Mus musculus: one gene and its partner. The protein of the gene in region 1 interacts with the protein of each later gene in a pairwise test. Links are inferred from orthologs where the notes say so. Each region holds a gene or a part of one and is shown on either strand. Other genes may lie near its edges.

The links.
Region 2: the proteins of Dbnl (region 1) and Sh3bp2 interact in binary tests that used the Homo sapiens proteins (3 or more experiments, as listed by UniProt). The link is inferred for Mus musculus from reciprocal best matches to the Homo sapiens genes DBNL and SH3BP2.

Annotation. Positions count from the first base shown.
Region 1 is NC_000077.6:5,786,724-5,791,316, reverse strand, and holds the start of Dbnl (drebrin-like protein), read right to left. Parts: upstream 2,835-4,593; 5' UTR 2,758-2,834; coding exon 2,675-2,757; intron 1-2,674. UniProt on the Homo sapiens protein: Adapter protein that binds F-actin and DNM1, and thereby plays a role in receptor-mediated endocytosis.
Region 2 is NC_000071.6:34,561,710-34,564,308, forward strand, and holds the end of Sh3bp2 (SH3 domain-binding protein 2), read left to right. Parts: intron 1-649; coding exon 650-787; 3' UTR 788-1,930; downstream 1,931-2,599. UniProt on the Homo sapiens protein: Binds differentially to the SH3 domains of certain proteins of signal transduction pathways. Binds to phosphatidylinositols; linking the hemopoietic tyrosine kinase fes to the cytoplasmic membrane in a phosphorylation dependent mechanism.

The DNA of each region.
Region 1 (4,593 bases):
ATATTCCTGAATCCAAACACCTAACGTAGAAGCAGGAGGGAGAAAGGTGCACTGGGGACTCCTGGGTGGGTATCAGCCCTGCCTTCATAGCCTGAGGGTAGACAGCAGGGCTTCCTGTCTTGAGATTCTCCTGCAAACATGCACTTTACCAGGCAGATATAGCAACAGAAAGTAGACAATGACAACACTGAGTTCCAGTGAAGACCACAGAGCCACCAAGGCTCTAATGGATAGTTGTCCAGTGGCTTTTTTTCCATCTACTGGCGCCTTGCACCTGTGTGTCCTGTGAGTGCATCTGCACATGAACACGCACACATGCACAATACACATATCGCCCCAAATAAAATTTCCAGTTCAGAGATTTTTTTTCTTACCTTCAATAGAACTCTCACCTCTTCTTTTAAATCAGTGTGAACAACGCCTGGTACGTGTATGCTGACTGGACTGCAGCTATGAACAATTCCTAAAAGGTCCGACCCATGGAGCTTAACTTCCCTACACCTGATGCTAATGTACAGTGTACACAGAGTGTAATAGGAACCAGATAAGCACAGGTCATGCCAGGCTCTTCAGGGAGGAGGCTGAAGCTAGATTATAGATGAGAGAAACTAAAGCTATGGCTCTGGTCTACAGTGTCACGGTACCAGCTCTGTGTGTGTGACCTTTTTTGGCTACCAAATTGAAGACTACCTCTTTTTGACAGTCTCTTTTTCTGCATGGCTTAATCCATCCATCAAAACATATGACAGCTAGGCACAAGGGTCTACCTGACCATGTTAGGGAAGAGAAAAAGCACACACACACACACAAACACACACACACACACACACACACACACACACACACACACACACACACAGAGTCCATGAGGGTTCCCAGCATGTTTCTTATTTGTATCACAAAGAAATGAAACTAGGAGAGAGGACAAAGTGACTATCACTTTAGTCTCAGGGAACTCCACAGTCTTTTCTGGCCTCTGAAGGCATGCATGTGGCCCATGTACTAGGAATTTAGGAGGACTCTCTGAGAAGACAACCCTAGCATAGAGACATAAAGGACAAGAAGCAATCAAGATGATGTATATGTATGTTCCATGCAGGGGAAGCAGCAAGATCAGAGGTTCTGTTTGATGAGGAACTAGCTTGCAGTTTTGAGGAAGAGAAAGACTTTGGTACAAGGGTGGTCAACAGGTGTGGCCAGAGTAGTAAGCAGGAGGGGCAACAGGAACCAGGGCAGACAGGGTAAGAGTCTGGGCTTTACTAAAGTGCAACAGGAAGACACTGCATTTATGGGCAGGGAAGTTAAGATGGCCCAGATATTCTCTCAGCTAGCGAGTGGGGACCTGCCACAAAAATCTTGCTGAGTGACTACTGAAATGGCTGTGACAGTGAGGGTGGAGGCCAGAGGCTCGTTCAACTGGAGTGGCAGCACCGTCTGCATACAGTACTGTAGGAAGCTGGGCAGTAGCATGGCTGCTGGGGCAGATGAACAGTGTATGGGGAAAGAGCAAGATCTGCACCCTCAGAAGGAACAATGGGTGGATGAGGCAGGACAATGTCAGACCAAGGTGGAGCAGATGATTCTAGTAGGAGGCTCAATGTGTGCTCGGGAGACAGACACAGGTGAGATCGTGGCCAACCTGGTCTACACAGTGAGTTCCAGGCCAGCCAGAGCTACACAGTCTCAAAAGCAAGCAAGCAAGCAAAGCAAGCAAGGTCAGTGAAGAGTTATAAGCATGGGTGAAGGGCACTGCTAGCTAGGTTGTGAGGTATTCCCCAAACAGTGATGGTTCTGAGACGACTAGAGGGCCAAAAGATAAAGAGGAGAGACAACACAGTAGAACAGAAGAGATGATTGGCCAGAGTTCTGCAATAGGGGAAGTCTCCAGGGAAGACTCAACACAGGCAAACTCAGTATAGCGCCCCTCAGTGCTGACCACAGGGTAGTGGTGGCCCCACCAGAACTCCAAAGTCCAGTTTGTGTTCCCCAGAATTTGTCCACCTGCCATACTCATCAGATGTCTGAGAAACTGAAGCACTAAAAACTGGCTAACGGAAGCATGTTAAGTAAACGGAAAGTGAAAGAGAATTACTATAGACTGGTATGCATGTAGCAGAAACCTAAGAGGGCTCAGCAGGGCCACTCCAGAAACTTCAGATCTAGTTCACAGTACTGTAATGGCTCCTGGGGTGGTGAAGGAAGGATGGAGCCTTTTCTCAAACAGGTGACAGGATCCCATTTTCAGTCCCAGAATCAGGGACCCAGACCTGTGACATCCTTGACTGAGCCCTGTGTGAGCTCATGACCTCAACCCACTGCTCACGCCGCTTTCAAGGTCTCTTCCTGAACTCAGGGTTTAGAAGACGTGGTTTCCGCCTTCCAGGGAGTTGGGGAACTGCGCGGGACCCCTTTGTCCAGTGAGGTCCCAGAAACGCAGAGCCTGGCGGAAAGCAGAAAGCACAACCAGGCAGAGATCTTCAGGGCAGAGCCGACCGACCACTAGGTGGCAGGGGAGAGGCCCGGGGGTACTCGCCGGGGGGACGGCGGTGGCGAGGGTGGGGTAGCATCTCGCTAGGCTTCAGGAAGGTGGACAGGTGATCCTGCAATACTACGGCTACGCCGCGACCTCCACCTTCCCGCTCTGGCGCCTCTCCGGCCCCGCCTTGCTGCCTACCAGTCGGTCGGGGATTTCTCGGTGACTACGCGCACGTAGGCCTCCTGCAGCGCCGGCCCGTTCCGGCTCAGGTTCACCGCCATGGCACGCCCCACGGTCCCCGCGATGCAGCAGCTTCAGCTTTCTGCCGGCCTCCAGTGACGGCCGGAAGCCCCGCCCCGGAGGCCGGAAGCCTCGCCTCTGACGTGCAGAAGCCGCGCCCAAGAGGCCGGAAGCGGAAGTGGAGAGAAGGCGAGCTAGGCTGAGGGTAAAGTTGAGGCGGGGTGCTGGTGAATGAAGATCCACGAGAGGCGGGCCTGCCCGTAGGTCCTCGTTCGTCCGCATCTGCAGGGCGTGGGCTCGATTTAGAGCTTCACGCTGGTTCGTCTCTCATTAGTTAATGTATTTTGTTTAAGAGCAAGCTGTATGCGCGCAGGCGCCTCGGAAATTTCATCTGATAGTCGGACATGATGGCTACGCCTTCAACCCCAGCCTAGCCCGGTGTACAGCGCAAGTTCCAGGATGGCGAGGGCTAGGCAGAGAAGCCCTGTTTGGAAAAACCAAAGAAGAAAAGGAAAAAAACATGAATCTGCTGTGTTAGGCGTAGAGGTACAAGCCTGTGATCCTAGCGCGCAACTGGCAGAGGCAGAAGCTTGAGTTCTAGCCCGGCCTGGGCATTGCCTAGATCTTCTAAATAAAGTAAAATGAAATATTTGATGTGATAGTGGGGTAATGAAGAGAACCTGCTTTGTGCTTCACTTCTATTTCCAGACAGTTGCCTGAACGTCCCTATGAGAGACCATACTCTGTTGTCGTAAACTAAAACGAACCCTTACTTCTCTAAACTGCTTTTAGCTAGGGCATTTTATCACAGCAACAGAAATGAAACTAGAACAGTGGGGGTCGAAGTTACATTTAAAATGTTGCAAGAATGGGGCTGGAAGTGTTGTTCGTGTATTTAATCTCAGCACTGGGGAGGCAGAGGCAAGCCTGGTCTACATAGTTGAGTTCCAGCCTATCTCAAAGACAAAAAAAGGGGTGGAGGGGCTGGAGAGATGGCTTGGTGGTTAAGAGCACTGACTGCTCTTCCAGGGGATCCAGGATTGATTCCTAGCACCTATGTGGCAGCTCACAACCCTCTGTAACTCCAGCCCTAGCCCTCATCTAGTCTCTGCTGGGACTAGGTATGGCCATGGTGCACTTAAACAATCACACAATATAAAAATAAGATGGGTGTGGTGGCACATGACTTCAATCCCTGAACCTGGGAAGCAAAGGCAGATAGATCTCTGAGTTTGAGTCCAGCCTGGTCTACATAGTGGATTACTGGCTATAAGTGAGTCCCTCTCTCAAAAAAGTATTAAAAAAGAAACTTCTGGCTGGGCAGTGGTGGCGCACGCCTTTAGTCCCAGCATTTGGGAGGCAGAAGCAGTTGGATTTCTGAGTTTAAGGCCAGCCTGGTCTACAGGGTGAGTTCCAGGGACAGCCAGAACTATACAGAGAAACCCTGTTCCGAAAACAAACAAAAACAAGAAGAAACTTCAGCTCCATCTAGCAAGCCCAAATCTTCCAAGAGAGGTTATTATGTGTGTGGTATATGCACATGGGCCAGGGTAGATGCATACTACTGTGCTGTTGGAGGCCAGAGGACAGTGTCAAGTATCCTGCTCTTTCATTATCCACCCTATTCCTTAGAGGCAGGTCTCTTACTGAGCCTGGAGCTAGGCTGGTAGGCAGCAAACCACAGTGATCCTCCTGTCTCCGCCGCTCCACAGTACTGATGCTATATACAGAGCCAAACCCAGCTCTTGAAGCAGTTGCTGGGTGTTTGAACTCAGGTCTTCAAGCTTGTGCGAAAAGTGCACTTTCCCACTGAGCCATCCCCACAGCCCCAACAGTCATTTATTTGTCACAGATCACTTAAACCAGTGTTCTCCACT
Region 2 (2,599 bases), on another chromosome or scaffold:
CTTAGCCAGAGCTAAGCGAGTCCCCCTGACAGTGGGAAACTGGACTGGTCCCTCCTTAACATTAGCCCTCCCCTTGTCCTTTGCCCTCCGTCTCTTCTCCATGGTCTCAGCCTTCTTCCTCTCCTAACCTTGCTTTATCATTAGCTTACTCTAGAAGTACTGGGTAGCCGCCCTTGGTTTTATTCACAGACCCTGCCCTGAGAGCAGTTCTCACATTGGACCCTTGAGGCTAAGGAGAGAGGGTACTAACTGAAAACCTCAAGGACACAGGCCTGATGTGTGTGGACAGACAGGGAGGGAACATGGGCAGCTAGCAGCAAGCCTGACTATCAGTGCCATCGTTACTGCTGACCTTTCCCTTTAAAAAGCTGGGGGAAGGGCTGGTGAGATGGCTCAGTGGGTAAGAGCACCCAACTGCTCTTCTGAAGGTCCTGAGTTCAAGTCCCAGCAACCACATGGTGGCTCACAACCATCCGTAAGGAGATCTGATGCCTTCTTCCTGTGTGTCTGAAGACAGCTGTAGTGTACTTACATATAATAAATAAATAAATCTTAAAAACAAAAAAACAAACCACTGGGGGAAGAGGTGAGGGGATCTAGGCAGTGGGTTACTCAGTCCCTGCTGGACCTGCTTCCTTTCTTCCTGCAGGATTCTAAGTTCTACCTGGAAGGTGAGGTTCTGTTTGCCAGTGTGGGCAGCATGGTGGAGCACTACCACACCCATGTGCTGCCCAGCCATCAGAGCCTGTTGCTGCGGCACCCATACGGCTACGCTGGGCCCAGGTGACATCCATTCCACACAGCTGTTGGGTGGAAGCAGCCCCGGAGCCACAGCTCTGCCACAAAGATGGAGACCAGCTGCATGGGAAGATGAACAGGAATGGGCTTGACATCAGACCTCATCGACATGACACCTAGCCGCAGTGAGCAGGCTGGGTTCCAGCTGGAGCAGGCCACAACTACTAAAGGAGTGGCTGGATGACTTGGCCCATCCAGCCATTCCATGACCCATCTCTCAAGAACCCAGGTCTGGTGACTAAGTGCTGCCTGGGCTTCGAGGGCACATGATCAGGTCGCTATAGCATACCTACTCTGTAGTGGGCTGGGACCAAGCAAGGCTGGGTTACTTGAAGCCTTGTCCTAGGACCCATAGGAATGCTAAGACATAGGAATGCTCTAGGAGGGACCATTGCCTCTCAATAAATCAGAGATGACCTTTGTCTCAATGACCAGGGTTTGATTGGCACAGAGTGGGTAGCAGGCTCTACTGAGCACCACCAATGTCCAGGTAGAGAGCTACTGAGAGCAGCCCTAATGTGTGGTCTTTAGTGTTCAGGGCACAGGCTGCTGAGTGACCTCACTGGAAGAGATAGCTAAATAATGGATCAGGATCCACCTGGATCTGTCAATCTTGGCTGGAGCCTCAATTTGAAAGCCCCAATTAGCAATTATTGAGCGACTATGTAACTGGCCTGGTACTGGGGCTGGTTGCTGGCTGTGAGCAGCCCCTAGTCCAGCTTGGTCAAGCTTACTCTAGAGCAGGTCAGTGAGTATCAGGTGCTGCTGGAGGTGCTGTGGTCTGGGAAGCCACATGGGGGATCTGGGAGCTTGGAATCCAGTGTGTGTGGGGGCAGGGAAGGGGTGGGAGGTCGGGGAGGTTCCAGTAAGACTTCTTACAGATGACCTGGCCAGAGTGAAGTGGGACAGGCCAAGGATGGGTGGGGACAGTGGCATCCACGTACCCCCAAGTAGTTTGGTGATCCCAATTGGTCCAGGCCACACCCCTGGCACAGCCGTCTAGACTGGACTTTTTCTGTGAAAATAAATTCATTTGGAGGTCAGGGCAGCCAGAGACCTTGGCACTATCTGATTTCATTGCACTTTATGTTAGAAAATAAAGTTTCTTTTTAAATTTTATTATTTTTATGCATATGAGTGTCTTGACTGCATGTATGTCTGTATATCATGTGTATGTACCTTGTGCCCAGGGGCATACAGAAGAGGGTGTCGGATCTCCTGGGATTGGAGTCATGAATGGTGGATGCTGGGAATCAAACCAGGGTTCTCTGGAAGAGCAGCCAGAGCTCTTTAACTGCTGAGCCATCTCTCCAGCCCTAGAGGAGAGGTGTTTACATAGAACCTAGAGCAAAAATTGGAGTTGTGCTCAGTAGCCAGGGACTGCTGTCTAGTAAGGGGAGCTTTGGTTTGCGATGTTCCACCAATTCCTGTATTTTGGAAGCATCAAATTTGTCAATGTGGGAGGCTCTGTCCCCCAGGCATCATGGGGTGTAGTGAATGACAGACATTGGATTCCAGTGGCCATCTGCTTCCAGGAACCAGAGTTCATCTCTGCAGATGTTTCTTATCAGCCTACCAGGGAGAAGAATCAGGATGCCAGGGACAAGTTTAGGGTATATGAAACTTTTGGTATTTTGAACAATCCCTTGAGGGGCAATCATTTTTTCCTCCCTTCCTAGACTAAACCAGGGACTGGGGTCATGGAAATGGCCACAGTGTCCATTTCTGTAAAATGTAAAACAGAAGTGGATGATCCCGTGCCTAGGAGTCTGCTGAGTGTGCACAGTCCTGCAGAACACCT